4 linked regions of the Sus scrofa genome follow. The protein of the gene in region 2 purifies or fractionates together with the protein of the main gene of each other region. This does not show direct contact. Links are inferred from orthologs where the notes say so. Each region holds a gene or a part of one and is shown on either strand. Other genes may lie near its edges.

What was found.
Region 1: the proteins of TUBB (region 2) and EEF1A1 fractionate together in Homo sapiens (co-fractionation; 3 studies listed by BioGRID). This does not show direct contact. The link is inferred for Sus scrofa from reciprocal best matches to the Homo sapiens genes TUBB and EEF1A1.
Region 3: the proteins of TUBB (region 2) and RICTOR purify together in Homo sapiens (affinity purification with mass spectrometry; 3 studies listed by BioGRID and IntAct, with this or other methods). This does not show direct contact. The link is inferred for Sus scrofa from reciprocal best matches to the Homo sapiens genes TUBB and RICTOR.
Region 4: the proteins of TUBB (region 2) and ARL2 purify together in Homo sapiens (co-immunoprecipitation; 3 studies listed by BioGRID and IntAct, counting the BioPlex papers as one, with this or other methods). This does not show direct contact. The link is inferred for Sus scrofa from reciprocal best matches to the Homo sapiens genes TUBB and ARL2.

Annotation. Positions count from the first base shown.
Region 1 is NC_010443.5:92,420,586-92,424,790, forward strand, and holds the start of EEF1A1 (elongation factor 1-alpha 1), read left to right. Parts: upstream 1-1,365; 5' UTR 1,366-1,398; intron 1,399-2,081; 5' UTR 2,082-2,116; coding exon 2,117-2,260; intron 2,261-2,455; coding exon 2,456-2,635; intron 2,636-2,756; coding exon 2,757-3,053; intron 3,054-3,136; coding exon 3,137-3,287; intron 3,288-3,375; coding exon 3,376-3,632; intron 3,633-3,720; coding exon 3,721-3,955; intron 3,956-4,055; coding exon 4,056-4,180; 3' UTR 4,181-4,205. UniProt on the Homo sapiens protein: Translation elongation factor that catalyzes the GTP-dependent binding of aminoacyl-tRNA (aa-tRNA) to the A-site of ribosomes during the elongation phase of protein synthesis.
Region 2 is NC_010449.5:23,250,597-23,252,777, forward strand, and holds the end of TUBB (tubulin beta chain), read left to right. Parts: coding exon 1-693; 3' UTR 694-1,644; downstream 1,645-2,181. UniProt on the Homo sapiens protein: Tubulin is the major constituent of microtubules, a cylinder consisting of laterally associated linear protofilaments composed of alpha- and beta-tubulin heterodimers.
Region 3 is NC_010458.4:24,134,961-24,138,527, reverse strand, and holds part of RICTOR (rapamycin-insensitive companion of mTOR), read left to right. Parts: intron 1-1,067; coding exon 1,068-1,245; intron 1,246-2,019; coding exon 2,020-2,104; intron 2,105-2,862; coding exon 2,863-3,096; intron 3,097-3,567. UniProt on the Homo sapiens protein: Component of the mechanistic target of rapamycin complex 2 (mTORC2), which transduces signals from growth factors to pathways involved in proliferation, cytoskeletal organization, lipogenesis and anabolic output.
Region 4 is NC_010444.4:7,164,106-7,168,141, reverse strand, and holds the start of ARL2 (ADP-ribosylation factor-like protein 2), read left to right. Parts: upstream 1-1,209; coding exon 1,210-1,303; intron 1,304-4,036. UniProt on the Homo sapiens protein: Small GTP-binding protein which cycles between an inactive GDP-bound and an active GTP-bound form, and the rate of cycling is regulated by guanine nucleotide exchange factors (GEF) and GTPase-activating proteins (GAP).

The sequences.
Region 1 (4,205 bases), on a different chromosome or scaffold from region 2:
TGGGTTTCTTCCCCCAAAGGAAGTATTTCTTTTGCATATGCTTCGGAGCCACTCTTAGCTCTGGCCACATAGTAGGTTCTCAAATATTTGTTGATAGATTGGCTCAAAAAGTTGCAGTAGTGCTCTACACGTGGAAGAGACGATCTAGTAATTAGCTCATTTAAAATAAAGGTTCCTCTTTCTTCAGGAATATTTTTGAATATCTGCCTGATTGCCAACCAAAAAGGCCTCATCTTGTCTTGCCCTGGATTTATGCCTAAAATGCAGTCACAATGGATAGGACGACAAAAGATGAAGCCGTTTATTCAAATGGGATAGGCCATTTTTGAGAAACAGTGATTTCACAGCAAACGTTGGAGTAGTAAATTGGGTGGATAAGCTTCCTGGCGCTGTAGATCTTAGTCTCTACTTGAGATCGTGTATAAGCACTGAACTCAAAAAATTCTTTTTAGGTTTTTCATGCTTGCAACCAAGAGTATACACTGGAAAAAAAATGTTAATAGGAGGGTAGACACACACTCAGGGTCTTAAACGTAATAAAATTAGGATTAGAAGTAAAGAAAACTGTAGTACTTAAGTCTATTCTAAACTCAAAAACTGGACGTCTGGAGTACCACGTGGTGTGTAGAACGAACTTAGATAAAAGAACTGAATGGAAAAAGCCAAGAGGTCAGCGCAGGAGCCTGTTCGCCAGGCTGTTGGTCAGCAAACTGAGCCACTCGCGGATTCTCGGCCCTGAAGACCGCCCCGAGGCCCCTGCCGCCGCGGTTCCCCGGCCTTTTACGCCTCCCTCTCCAGCCGGAAGGGGCGCGGACGGCAAGGGCGGTGGAGAAGCCCCGGCAGAGGAAGCGGCTCCAGGGGTTAGTCCTTAACCTGCGAGACCGCAAGACTGAGGACCGGTGGGGTACTGCCGGGTAAGGGCTCCCATCTCGGTCCAACTTTGCAGTTAAGCTACGACCGGTTCAGGGAAGATTCTGGACGCCTCCCCGCCGCCCCACCCCCCAGCTGTGCGGAGAGTAATTCATACAAAAGGAGGACTCTCCTCAGCCAGGGAAATCCCAGGGACCGTCGATAAACTCCCACTAAACCTAGAACCGAGTGAGCGCTCGACCCCGCCTCCCACCCACCAGCAGTCGTCATCCTCCTGGTTGAGAGGAGCATGCGCCGGGCGCCGTGTGCTCGTCAGTGGGCTGAACGCACATCGCCCACGGTCCCCGAAGATGGGGGGAGGGGACGGCGGTGGAACCGGTGCCGGGTGGAGGTGGCGCGGGGTAAACTGGGAAAGTGGTGTCGTGTGCTGGCTCCGCCCTTTTCCCCGAGGGTGGGGGAGGACCATATATAAGCGCCGTGGTCCCCGCGAACGTTCTTTTTCGCAACGGGTTTGCCGCCAGGACACAGGTGAGTACGGGTGTGGCCTCCGTCCGCATGGCCTCCGCCGGTGGCCACGGCCTTAGCGTGCCTCCCGGCCCCCCGCGCGTAGAGGGCTCTGCGCCCTGGTCCTGATTCCGAGCTGCGGGCGGGGGGAGGTGGAGAACTCGAGGCCCTCCGCTCTCGCGGTTCCCTACCGCGTGCCCGGTGGCGGCCTGCTGGGGCGCCGTGGCCGCCGCGTGCGATCCGCGCCTTCGCGCCCGCCCCGTCTGTCTTCGCGCTCGAGTTCGGCCGGCAGCCGCGTGTTACTGCCAGGGCGGCCCAGCCGAGGCCGCCCAAGGTGGCCTCCGTGCCCGGCGGTCCCGGGGCAGACGGCCGCGGCGGGGCGGGGCGGGCGGTCGGAGACCCAGCGCCCCGCCCGGGCGGGCTGCGAGCGCGGAAAGATGGCCGCTCCCGGTCTCAAGATGGAGGACGCGGACGGCGGGCGGCGCACAAAGGGCCGGGCGGTGCTGCCCGCGCCGCTTCCCGGGACTCGCGGCCCGGGTGGGGGAGGGGCTGGGCGCCGGGGCGGCCCCGTTCGCTGGGTGTAGGCCGGGCAGGGCCCGCAGGGCGCCGGTGCTAATGCTCCCTGGAGTTTGCCCTTGGCTGTTGGGGTTGTGCCTGAGTCTCCGGTCGTCGGGACAGTAGTTTAAAGAAGGTTTTTGTCGTCTTAGGTGTCGTGAAAGCCATCGCTAAAAGCTAAGCAAAAATGGGAAAGGAGAAGACTCACATCAACATCGTCGTCATCGGACACGTCGATTCGGGCAAGTCCACCACTACTGGCCATCTGATCTACAAATGCGGTGGGATCGACAAAAGAACCATCGAAAAGTTCGAAAAAGAGGCTGCGGAGGTCGGTAAAGTAACGTCAGCAAATTAAGTGGTAGTTCTCTAAAACTAGTGTATATCTGACTTGAACTAGTACATTGCAAAGTTTGCTAAGTGGCTTAACTCCAGCCAAGTTTAGGAGATGGAAGTGAAACCTAGCATTGCTTCCAAGTGGGACTAAGGAGTTTAGTTACCGAGTAACCCTTCTTAATCCCTGCAGATGGGAAAGGGCTCCTTCAAGTATGCCTGGGTCTTGGACAAACTAAAGGCTGAACGTGAGCGTGGTATTACCATTGACATCTCCCTGTGGAAATTCGAGACCAGCAAGTACTACGTGACCATCATTGATGCTCCAGGACACAGAGACTTTATTAAGAACATGATTACAGGCACTTCCCAGGTTTGTAGGATTAAGAACTCCTGAGAGTAACATTTTGAGTTATCTATAAATTGGCGAAACCATGGATCTGTCCTTTTTGGAGAGGTTTTCACAGGGTGTGGCCTTTTTTTCTTTTTTAAAGGCTGACTGTGCTGTCCTGATTGTTGCTGCTGGTGTTGGTGAATTCGAAGCAGGTATTTCCAAGAACGGGCAGACCCGTGAGCATGCTCTTCTGGCCTACACCCTGGGTGTGAAACAGCTCATTGTTGGCGTTAACAAAATGGATTCCACTGAGCCACCCTACAGCCAGAAGAGATATGAAGAGATTGTAAAGGAAGTCAGCACCTACATTAAGAAAATTGGCTACAACCCTGATACAGTAGCATTTGTGCCAATTTCTGGCTGGAATGGTGACAACATGCTGGAGCCAAGTGCTAATGTAAGTGGTTTTGATGAGTTCTCAAAACTTAAGTCTGGGAAGGGATAAGTTTGAAAACACTAATTGATGATCTTGTGTTTTAGATGCCTTGGTTCAAGGGATGGAAAGTCACCCGTAAAGATGGCAATGCCAGTGGAACCACACTGCTTGAAGCTCTGGATTGCATTCTACCACCAACTCGTCCAACTGACAAGCCCTTGCGCCTGCCCCTCCAGGACGTCTACAAAATTGGTGGTAAGTTGAACGTTACACTCAGCTGGTATGGGTTGCAGTGATGTTTGTCTTCATACGAGATAATTATGCTGTGCTGTGAATACTTCAGGTATTGGTACAGTCCCTGTGGGCCGAGTGGAGACCGGTGTTCTCAAACCTGGCATGGTGGTCACCTTTGCTCCAGTCAATGTTACAACTGAAGTCAAGTCTGTTGAAATGCACCATGAAGCTTTGAGTGAAGCCCTTCCTGGGGACAACGTGGGCTTTAATGTCAAAAACGTGTCTGTCAAAGACGTTCGTCGTGGCAATGTGGCTGGTGACAGCAAAAATGACCCACCTATGGAAGCAGCTGGCTTTACAGCTCAGGTAACACTTCAGTGACAGGTTTTTAAACTGCCAGAACCTTAACTGTCTAAATGTCTAAAATGTGCTAAATGCAAATTTTCTCCCTAAGGTGATTATCCTGAACCATCCTGGCCAGATCAGTGCTGGTTACGCACCTGTGCTGGATTGCCACACAGCTCACATTGCCTGCAAGTTTGCTGAACTGAAGGAGAAGATTGATCGTCGTTCTGGGAAAAAGCTGGAAGATGGCCCCAAGTTCTTGAAATCTGGTGATGCTGCCATTGTCGATATGGTTCCTGGCAAGCCCATGTGTGTTGAGAGCTTCTCTGACTATCCTCCTCTGGGTAAGAGTGCCTTTTTAGTGTAATTAAGCTTCAGTAAAAATGGAAAAGCAGTTATGTAGAGAAAGTGTTTCTCATGGTGATTTAATTTTTGTTTTAATAGGCCGATTTGCTGTTCGTGACATGAGACAGACAGTTGCTGTGGGTGTCATCAAAGCTGTGGACAAGAAGGCAGCTGGAGCTGGCAAGGTCACCAAGTCTGCTCAGAAAGCTCAGAAGGCTAAATGAATATTATCCCCAATACCTGCCACCC
Region 2 (2,181 bases):
CTCAAGCTGACCACGCCAACCTATGGGGACCTGAACCACCTTGTCTCTGCCACCATGAGTGGTGTCACCACCTGCCTCCGCTTCCCTGGCCAGCTCAATGCTGACCTCCGCAAGCTGGCAGTCAATATGGTGCCCTTCCCACGTCTCCACTTCTTCATGCCCGGCTTTGCCCCTCTGACCAGCCGTGGAAGCCAGCAGTACCGGGCCCTCACTGTGCCTGAGCTCACCCAGCAGGTCTTCGATGCCAAGAACATGATGGCTGCCTGTGACCCCCGCCATGGCCGGTACCTCACTGTGGCTGCTGTCTTCCGTGGGCGCATGTCCATGAAGGAGGTGGATGAGCAGATGCTCAACGTGCAGAACAAGAATAGCAGCTACTTCGTAGAATGGATCCCCAACAATGTCAAGACGGCTGTCTGCGATATCCCTCCCCGTGGCCTCAAGATGGCGGTCACCTTCATCGGCAACAGCACGGCCATCCAGGAGCTATTCAAGCGCATCTCAGAGCAGTTCACTGCCATGTTCCGCCGAAAGGCCTTCCTCCACTGGTACACAGGTGAGGGCATGGACGAGATGGAGTTCACTGAGGCTGAGAGCAACATGAATGACCTCGTCTCTGAGTACCAGCAGTACCAGGATGCCACCGCAGAAGAGGAGGAGGATTTCGGTGAGGAGGCCGAAGAGGAGGCCTAAGGCCGAGCCCCATCACCTCAGGCTTCTCAGCCCCCTCAGCCTTCTTCAACTGCCCCTTTCCTCTCCCTCAGAATTTGCGTTTTCTGCCTCTTGTTTTTCTTTGGGGGGGGGGTCTATCTAGAACAGTGCCTGGCACATAATAGGCGCTCAATAAATATTTGTTGTTTGTTGAATGTCTCCTCTCTCTTTCCACTCTGGGGAACCTAGATTTCTGCCATTCTGGGTAACCCTGTGTTTCCTTCTGGTGCCCACTTCCTCCCATCTGCCCAGTAAACATTTCCCTGTTTTTGAGATAATGCTTCAAGAAGCTGGGTTCCAACCAAATCCCATTTAGAACCTGATAGATGACCACCATCCTAGGCCTGAGAAGTAGCCCGGGGGAAAGGAGATGCAGGAACCTCCCCTGTCCCTGCAAGGAAAGGGTGGGGCTTTGGAGAGGGGCCTCCAGGCTGTTGAAGTCCTAATTTCCATTTATCTCCCTACTCCTCTCAGCTTCTGGGGGGGTGTTAACAGTATTATCTCCATTTTCAGTCTCCCTCCAAGCTCTGTCCTGAGTTGTTTGCTTGGTAGGAGTCTGGCCCCGACCCTGTCCAGAGGAATCCTTCTTCCCCTTTACCTCCTTGGATTCCTCTCCTCTGTTCAGAAAAGGGTCAAGGGGAGCAAGGGAGAGATGAGCCATGTCCCTAAGCCTATCTTTTTACACGAAAAAATGAATATAAGCCCTTCTGTACATACATGGACAGGTGTGTGCTGTCACCCTAATGTCATTTGCCAGAGAGGGGACAACATCTTTTCGGCAACATCTCATCTCTTAACTTTTTTGCTATTGCCTTTCCCCCCTACTCTTGGTTTTGTTCTATTCTACACTTCTATTTTGTGTTGAACTTGCTTTTTTTCATATTGAAAAGATGACTGCCCCAAGAGCCAAAAATAAATGGGAATTGAAAAACAGTTGCGAGATGTGTGCTCATTCAGGGAAAAAACACTGGTGGAGGAATGGGGCTCAAGTTCAGTTACACCATATACTGTTTCCATAAGTTGATATATGTCTTTATTCTTTAATCCCTGGTCTCAATAACTGGGATGGCTGGAGGCCCAAATGCAGTAGAAAAGGGAATTGAGGTCAAGTAAGTGGTTACCAGACCAGCATCATCAGTGTCTCCCCGATTAAATGGAGATTCCCTGCCCAGAACCCAACAAACTGGTTGGACCGAGGCAATTTTAACAGTGATCCAGAAGAATCTCAGGAATGCAAAGCCACTTGTAGTTTATCTAGGGCCCTTTGGGTTATAGGTATCCTGCTATTTTCTCTAGCCCTGTGGGTTTTCTTAGACACCTTAAGGCAAACATCACTGGAGGGATGTTACACCATGGTCCTGTTCTAAACTGACACTGTTCCACCTGACACCATGCTTCAGAGCACAATGTAACAAGTCTCTAAGCTGTTCTGGAAGTTCAACAAATTTAAAAATATATAAATTATCCCTG
Region 3 (3,567 bases), on a different chromosome or scaffold from region 2:
AATATGTAAAAATGGAGCTATTCAGGTTGAAATGGGTGTTGTGAAGGCAGTTAATTCAATAATTTCCCTTTCACTCCAGTAGTCTTTGCAGAGTTTTATGGAATCAGAGAGGTATGACAGTAAAATTTAAAAACTACTGACCTATTTTATAAAATTTATAAAATTAAATTATGTGTGGTTTTTAGGTGAAAATTAGTGGAAAGTAGGAATGGTTTTTGCTATGATAATTTTTGTAGCTTTCTATTTATGAAGTATTTATGTGTTTTTCAAGACCTTCATTTTAATTTCAGGCTATATTATTACATTTCAGATGACTTGAGTTTTCAACTGGCAACATACATATACTGTGAAACTTTGTGTAATGCTTTGTACATACAAAGCAGGTGTACAGAAATATTTTATCATGTCTGTTGCATGAATATGACTTTATGTGAAAAGTGTATCTTATGGAAATATCAGTATTCCGTATTGCAGAATCACTGATGAGAATGCATTGAGGAAAAATATCTCTGCTTTATAAAATCTATCTCTTGTAATAGTTCTATATAATACCTTTCTTATTGTTTTGTGTCTTTGTGTTACAAAATCTTATGCTGATAAAGCATTACAGTACCTACCACACAAAGAATAAGTGATCATTCTTATTTTAATGAAAGTAATGTTAAATAGAGATAGTTGATGTGCCCTTAGTTGTATGATAGCAAATCTAGCAGTCTCAGTGAAGGTCATCCTTAGATAACCGCTCTGACTTCTGAGGTCAGTTTTTTGTTTTGTTTTATTTCTGGATGTTGAAAGTTATCTTTAATTGCTCACCTTTTCACTTTCACCTGGGAGACCATACAGTTGTTTTTGGTCAACAGTCAACATTACATAATGGCTTTTTATATATCAATTTATAAGAGATAAATATTTCCAATTATTTATAATGTTCTCAGTAAACAAGATGGCAGTGTTTAGTACTTGACTGGCTTCCTCTTTTTTATGAAGGTATGAAAATAAACTAATTTCTTTATATGATTGATATTACAAATCAAGAAACTAATGCAGTTTTTTTAATGGCATTATAGGTTCATGAAAGCTTTAAGTTATGCTTCGTTAGATAAAGAAGATTTATTAAGTCCTATTAACCAAAATACCCTGCAGCGATCTTCCTCCGTGAGGTCCATGGTGTCCAGTGCGACTTACGGTAGCTCAGATGACTACATTGGTCTTGCCCTTCCAGTAGACATCAATGATATATTCCAGGTATCATAAATTCTGTTTTCTTGTGAGTTGGTTTACTGTTTTTTCATATTCTATAACTGCTTACTAGGAATTATAATCTAGAGTGAAATTATAACTTGGGGGAAAGCGATTTTTTTTAAGGTAGTTTTATTTAAAGAAATTCTGTGATGAAAATTATTTCACTTTTCTCAACTATTCTATTCTCTTTTATTTAGCATCTCTAGGTCCTCAGAACACTATCCTTTTCTTCTCTTATCATACCAAAACAGTATCTTGTTTCTCTATCAGTCTGTTCTCTGTAGCAAATTTTAGTTCCTGGTTTTGCTTTTTAGTTATATTTGAGTTATTACTTGTTGGTTTTTTAAATTGAGATGTAATTGACACATAACACTGTGTAAGTTTGAAGTGTATGATGTACACATTATTTTATGTAATCCTTAACTCCGTTTATCCCATACATGGCAGCCACTTGTGGTAGTCCCATAAAAAACTCAGAAATCTCTAGATGAGAGATAGTACTGAAGAATACACATTTATTTAGAAGTCTAAAGACATTCCAGATAAATAATTGTTTTAATATCCACTTAAATCATCAAGAATAAATAAGACTTTAAAGGTTTTATGCTATTCTGTCAAATTTTGACTTGATTTAATAACCCTCTTCAGTAATCTTATGATTACAAGTTCATGTGGTATAGTAATTCAGTTTAAATTATATTTCATTTAATTGTACTAACATTCATAAAGTGAATTTCTTTTTATAATAGGACTTACCATGATTTATGTCTATTTTAGGTAAAGGATATTCCCTATTTTCAGACAAAAAACATACCTCCACATGATGATCGAGGTGCAAGAGTATTTGCCCATGATGCAGGAGGTAACATATGGTTTTTTTTCTCCTCTATATTAAAAAGAAAATTCTTCTCAGTAGGATGACACTCAAAATTCAGGTATACTTACTTTTGGATCAGCTTTAAAAAAATATAAGCAAAACAGTTGTTTGAGTACTTTAACATTAAACCACAGTATTTTTGTTGCGTGTGTGGAGAACTTAGGAAACAACTAAGTACCTAGCTTCTCAAAAGGACAAAAACCAAATGAAGTGCTTCTGTTTTAAACAAATAAATAATAACATAAAAAAATTGTAATACCCTCATATGTCTAAGAAACAGCTGTTTGGAGGAAAACGAAGAAAAATGTGCTTATACAGTATAGGATCTCTCTTTATTATGAGAGATCCTGTACTGTATAAGTATTTTCATTGATACATGCATATCAGCCACAGACTTAAAGCTTTATAATCGTGATTTTTTTTTTTCTTAACAAGGACCTCTTTAGACTCCAAATTACTACTTTTCTTTATGCAAATATTGAGAGTAATTGAAATGATGCCTTAATTGTATAATCTTTTTTATTTTGTTTTTAAAACATCATCTTAATATAAACATATCTGCTGTTTAAAACAAATTACCTTTTTTTCTCCCCAGTTAAGATTAGATTTGAAGTCCTTGAAAGAGTTCTGGTTTTCTTTCCTACTTTTCCTTCTTTAAAATTTCGTGTAGTTTAAGGCACCTTGAACCATGTGTCATTGATACTTTCTTCATCAGATTATGTTTTATATTTACTTATGCACAGGTCTTCCATCTGGAACTGGAGGTCTTGTAAAAAACTCTTTTCACTTGCTACGACAGCAGATGAGTCTCACGGAAATAATGAATTCAATCCATTCAGATGCTTCTCTGTTTTTAGAAAGTACAGAAGACACTGGACTACAGGAACATACAGACGATAACTGCCTTTATTGTGTCTGTATTGAAATTCTGGGTTTCCAGCCCAGTAACCAACTGAGTGCAATTTGTAGTCATTCAGGTGAGTGATTATGTCCTTCTAGATGAATCCAACTGAATTTGAATCTTCTCTAGTCACAAGTCCTCTCTCAGCCCTGTTAATCATCCCAACTCCATTCTCACTACATCGCACTTTGTTCAATCACTTAGCATCTCCCTTTTGGAGCGTTAGTGTTTCAGTCTTCAATTTTGGCCCCTTCCAATTCATCTCCTATACATTGCCTGGGATATCTGTTGCCAGTTCTTTACTGATTATTCATGTCCAGCATACAAGACTCTAAATGTGATCTTTCTGTTGTCTTTTGCACCATTCTCCTGTCTTATAATTGATTTACCATTACTGACGTAATGTTTTTGAACAGACTGTGTTCTTTTTTATGATTCTAGGCATGAAAAATGTGTTTTCCCTGCTGTTCCCTCTTACACCCTCCCTTCTCACACACATGCAAGCTAACACACAGACACAGTCCATTTGGCAAGCCCATCTCATCCT
Region 4 (4,036 bases), on a different chromosome or scaffold from region 2:
GCGGTGTAAGTCACAGATGTGGCTTGGACCTGGCATGGCTGTGGCTGTGGCAGAGGCCAGCAGCTGTAGCTCTGATTCGACCCCTAGCCTGGGAATGTCCATATGCCTCAGGTGCGATGCTTAAAAAAAAAAAAAAAGTGAATGCTTTGTAAAATTACACAGAAGTTAGCCATTATCTTCAGCTGGTGCATGACCTTTCCCAAGCATCAGACAGAGCCTACTCTGCTGCCTACTCACATTTGTCCTGTAGTGGCCTGGGAGAAGGGCTCAGAATAAGACAACAGGGCTCAACCTTCTGAGTTTACAATCTGCCTTGTCCCTGGCCTCCACTTCCTCACAATTTCTGGACTTGAGCACTAAGGTAAAGAACCAAGCTCTTGCACAAAGTCAACAACAAAAATATCCAACAACAAATATTTATTGAGCACCTAGTGTAAGTCAGGCACTGTGCTAAGCACCACATGAGCCTCAGCTTTCTCATAGGCAAAATGAAAAACTGTGCTTCTCAATAGAGAAACAATGAGCACGAGCATCTTGGGTGGGACAATCCTTTGTGGATATCTGTCCCCTGCCCTCTAAATGACAGGTATGTTATCTTGTAACGGGGACAAATCCACTGATGCCCCCACACATTTCCAAACGGCACCTAAGGGGAAGTTCCACCCTGGATGGAGAATTCCCAGAGTACCCTCCATGACTTCAGAAGCCAAGGAAAGGGGGTAAGCCTTGTAAGTGGCAGGTTTAGGATGATGCCCCGGCCCAAGATAAGCAGGATCTGGACCACGTCTCCGGGAAACAGCGCCTTCTATCAGCCCCAGGGTGATGTCAACATCCTTGGGGCTCTCAGGAGTCGGAACTCCAACTCCCTATGCAGCCAAAACACAACCCAGGAACTTGAGGTTTCCGTTCTCTACCATTATCTTTGGACTTTGGGTCCTGGAAGGAAAAGAATGGCAGTGCTCTCGTCACCCAGTCGCTCGGAATGCGAAGGGTTAACGCAGGTTGCCGCGCAGAAGCCCCCCAGTACCGCTAGAGGGACCATCCAACGCAGCGCCGCCGGGCGGCTTCGCGGTCACGTGGGGCGAGGGCGGGACCAAGCGAGAAGCCAGCCAATAGGCTGTGCTGTCGATGGGCTTGATAGCCAATAGGAGCAGGGAAAGGGGTCCCGGGACTAGGAAGAAACAGCGGCTGGGAGGGGGCTACTGGGACATGGGGCTTCTGACCATTCTGAAGAAGATGAAGCAGAAAGAGCGAGAGCTGCGACTGCTAATGCTGTATCCTCCCCGGCGCCGGAGCCGCGAGGGTAGCGGGATGCTGGGGGGGCTCCCACCGGGCGGGCGGTTTCAGGCGCCCCCTGCCGGGAGCGGGATGTGCGGCCGGCTGGCCCGTACCAACTGCCCTTCTGCGTCACTCACGTGGGCCCTACCATCGCTTTTGGCAGGGGGCCGGGAGGAGGCCGTACCACCGGCTCAGGGCGGGGGGGGGACTTCTTCCCAAGGCCAAAGGTATGGGAGTAAAGGCGCAGCGGCCGGGCCTGATGTCCCAGTGTAGGGGGAGGTGAGGCCCGGAGGTGACTCGAACGCTACCACCCGTCGGTCTGGCCCGTGCGTTGGGCCGCCGTTCTCCCCGGTCCTGACCGCCTCCTCCCCCTGTCAAAGGGTGCCAGGCCCCGGCCGCGCCCTCAAGGTCGGAATCCCGGGGGCGTGTGGGCCCCGCCCTCAGCACTGGGCGCAGGTGGCAGGTGGATATGGACTCTGCGGGTAATTTTGCCGCTGGGTCCAGCGCTTGGTTGCCTCCCGGCCGGTGTCACCACATCGGACAGCTTGTAGGCCCGAGAGCCCTGCTGACCTTCTGAGTCCCACTGGCAGGCATCACTCCTCTTTGCCAGCCCCCTATCCCCGGAGAGGCTGTGGTCCAAGAGCTGGACAATAAGATCTGGACCCCCAAGCTCCCCTTAGCAGGGGAGAGAAGACATTTATGTGCGCAAATAACTTGAATCTTCACGTCACGTCTGTTTTGACGAACTCTGAGAAAGGCACAGGGAATTCACTCATCCAGTAGACGTTTTTTGAGCGCCTGCTGTGGACCAGGCACTGTTCTGGGGGCTGGGATAAAACAGCAAAACAAACAAACAAAAATACCCGTATCTTTAAGGATGCTCTGTGTAAGGCTGAGGGGAGAAAGGAGAAAGATGTTAGCTAACAAAATAGGTAAAATATATAATGTGTGGCAATTAAGGCAGTTTAAATAAGGTAGTCAAAGAGGGCCATACTGAGAAGGTACTAGTTGAGGAAAGGCAGGGCGGTGAGGGAGGCACCACGTAGATGTCTGGGGAAATTGTTTAAGGAAAGGGAACAGCACGTGGAACGGCCTCCAGGGAGGAACTCAGCCGGGGTGTTCAGAGGACTGTCTGGGAAGGCGGTGTGGCTGAAAAGAATGAGCCCTGGAAGGTCAGGTCCAATGGAAGAGGCACCTCACCTGGGGCCTTTTGGTTCTGGACTTTTCCTTTAAAAGAAGTGCAGAGAGGGAGTTCCTGTGGTGGCAGAGTGGTAAGGAACCCGACTAGTATCCATGAGGACTCAGGTTCCATCCCTGACCTCGCTCAGTGAGTTAAGGATCCAGCGTTGCATGAGCTGTGGTATAGGTCGCAGACGCGGCTCAGATGCTGTGTTGCTATGGCTGTGGTGTAGGCCGGCAGCTGTAGCTCCACTTTGACCCCTAGCCTGGCAATGTCCATGTGCCACAGATGCAGCCCTAAAAAAGACCAAAAAAAAAAAAAAAAAAAGTGCAGAGAGGAGGTGAGATGTAAGACTAGTTAGGCCCCTGCCGTAACACAGGTGAGCTAGGATGGTAGCTGGGAAGCGGTGAGGTGACGGAAGTTGGGGGGACATGCTGAGAGTCAGGCCAGCAGGAACTGCTGCTGGATTGGACATGAGTGTGAGAAGAGTCAAGTGTGACTCCTGGGTTTCCTGCACCATCAGCAGAATGAGATGTTGGAGGGGCTGGGGAACATATTCAGGGGAAGGTGAGAGCTGAGTTTTGGCCATGTGGGAAGCCTCTGGGACATCCTAGAGATGGCAGCGAGGCAGCTGGATGTAGGGACCCATATCCAGGGGAGCAGCTGGGTGGGATGTATGAGCTTGGGAGTCCTCAGCGTAAAGATGCTGTTTGAAGCCTGGTCCTGGATGAGATTGCCGAGTCAGGGAGTGTGGACAGAGAAGGGGGCCTAGGCCTGCGCAGAGCAGGAGGTCAGGGCGAGGAGGAGGGGAAGGAGGAGGAATGACCGGGGAGATGGGAGAACCAGGCGAGGGGAGGAAGGAACTGGCCACTCTGTCAGCGCTGCTGCTGGAGCAGGAGGAAGAGGGCTGAGGACCGCCCAGCTAGTAAAGAACGACAGGGCCTCTCAGAGGACTGACCTCAGTAAGAGCAGTTTCAGGGAAGCAGTGGGAACAGAAATCTCATGGGTTCAAGAAAGAGCATGATGGAGTTCCCGTCGTGGCGCAGTGGTTAACGAATCCGACTAGGAACCATGAGGTTGCAGGTTCGCTCCCTGCCCTTGCTCAGTGGGTTAAGGATCCGGCGTTGCCTGAGCTGTGGTGTAGGTTGCAGACGTGGCTCGGATCCCGTGTTGCTGTGGCTCTGGTGTAGGCCGATGGCTACAGCTCCGACTGGACCCCTAGCCTGGGAATCTCCATATGCCGCGGGAGCGGCCCAAGAAATAGCAAAAAGACAAAAAACAAAAAACAAAAGAAAGAGCATGAGGACTGAAATTGGAGTGGGGAGTATGGACAGCAGCTTTAGGAGATCTGCTATAAAGGGCACGACGTAGGAGTTCCCTGGTAGCCCAGCGGTTAAGAACTTGGCGTTGTCACTGCTGTAGCTTGGGTTCCATCCCTGGCTCAGGAACTTCTGCATGCTGCAGGTGCAGTCCTGCCCCCCGCCCCCCAAATGGGGAAGGAAATCAAGGAAAAAGTAAGAAAGGAGGGGTCAAGAGAGGCTGTTTTTCACTTCTAAGTGGGAGAGACACCAGCTTGGC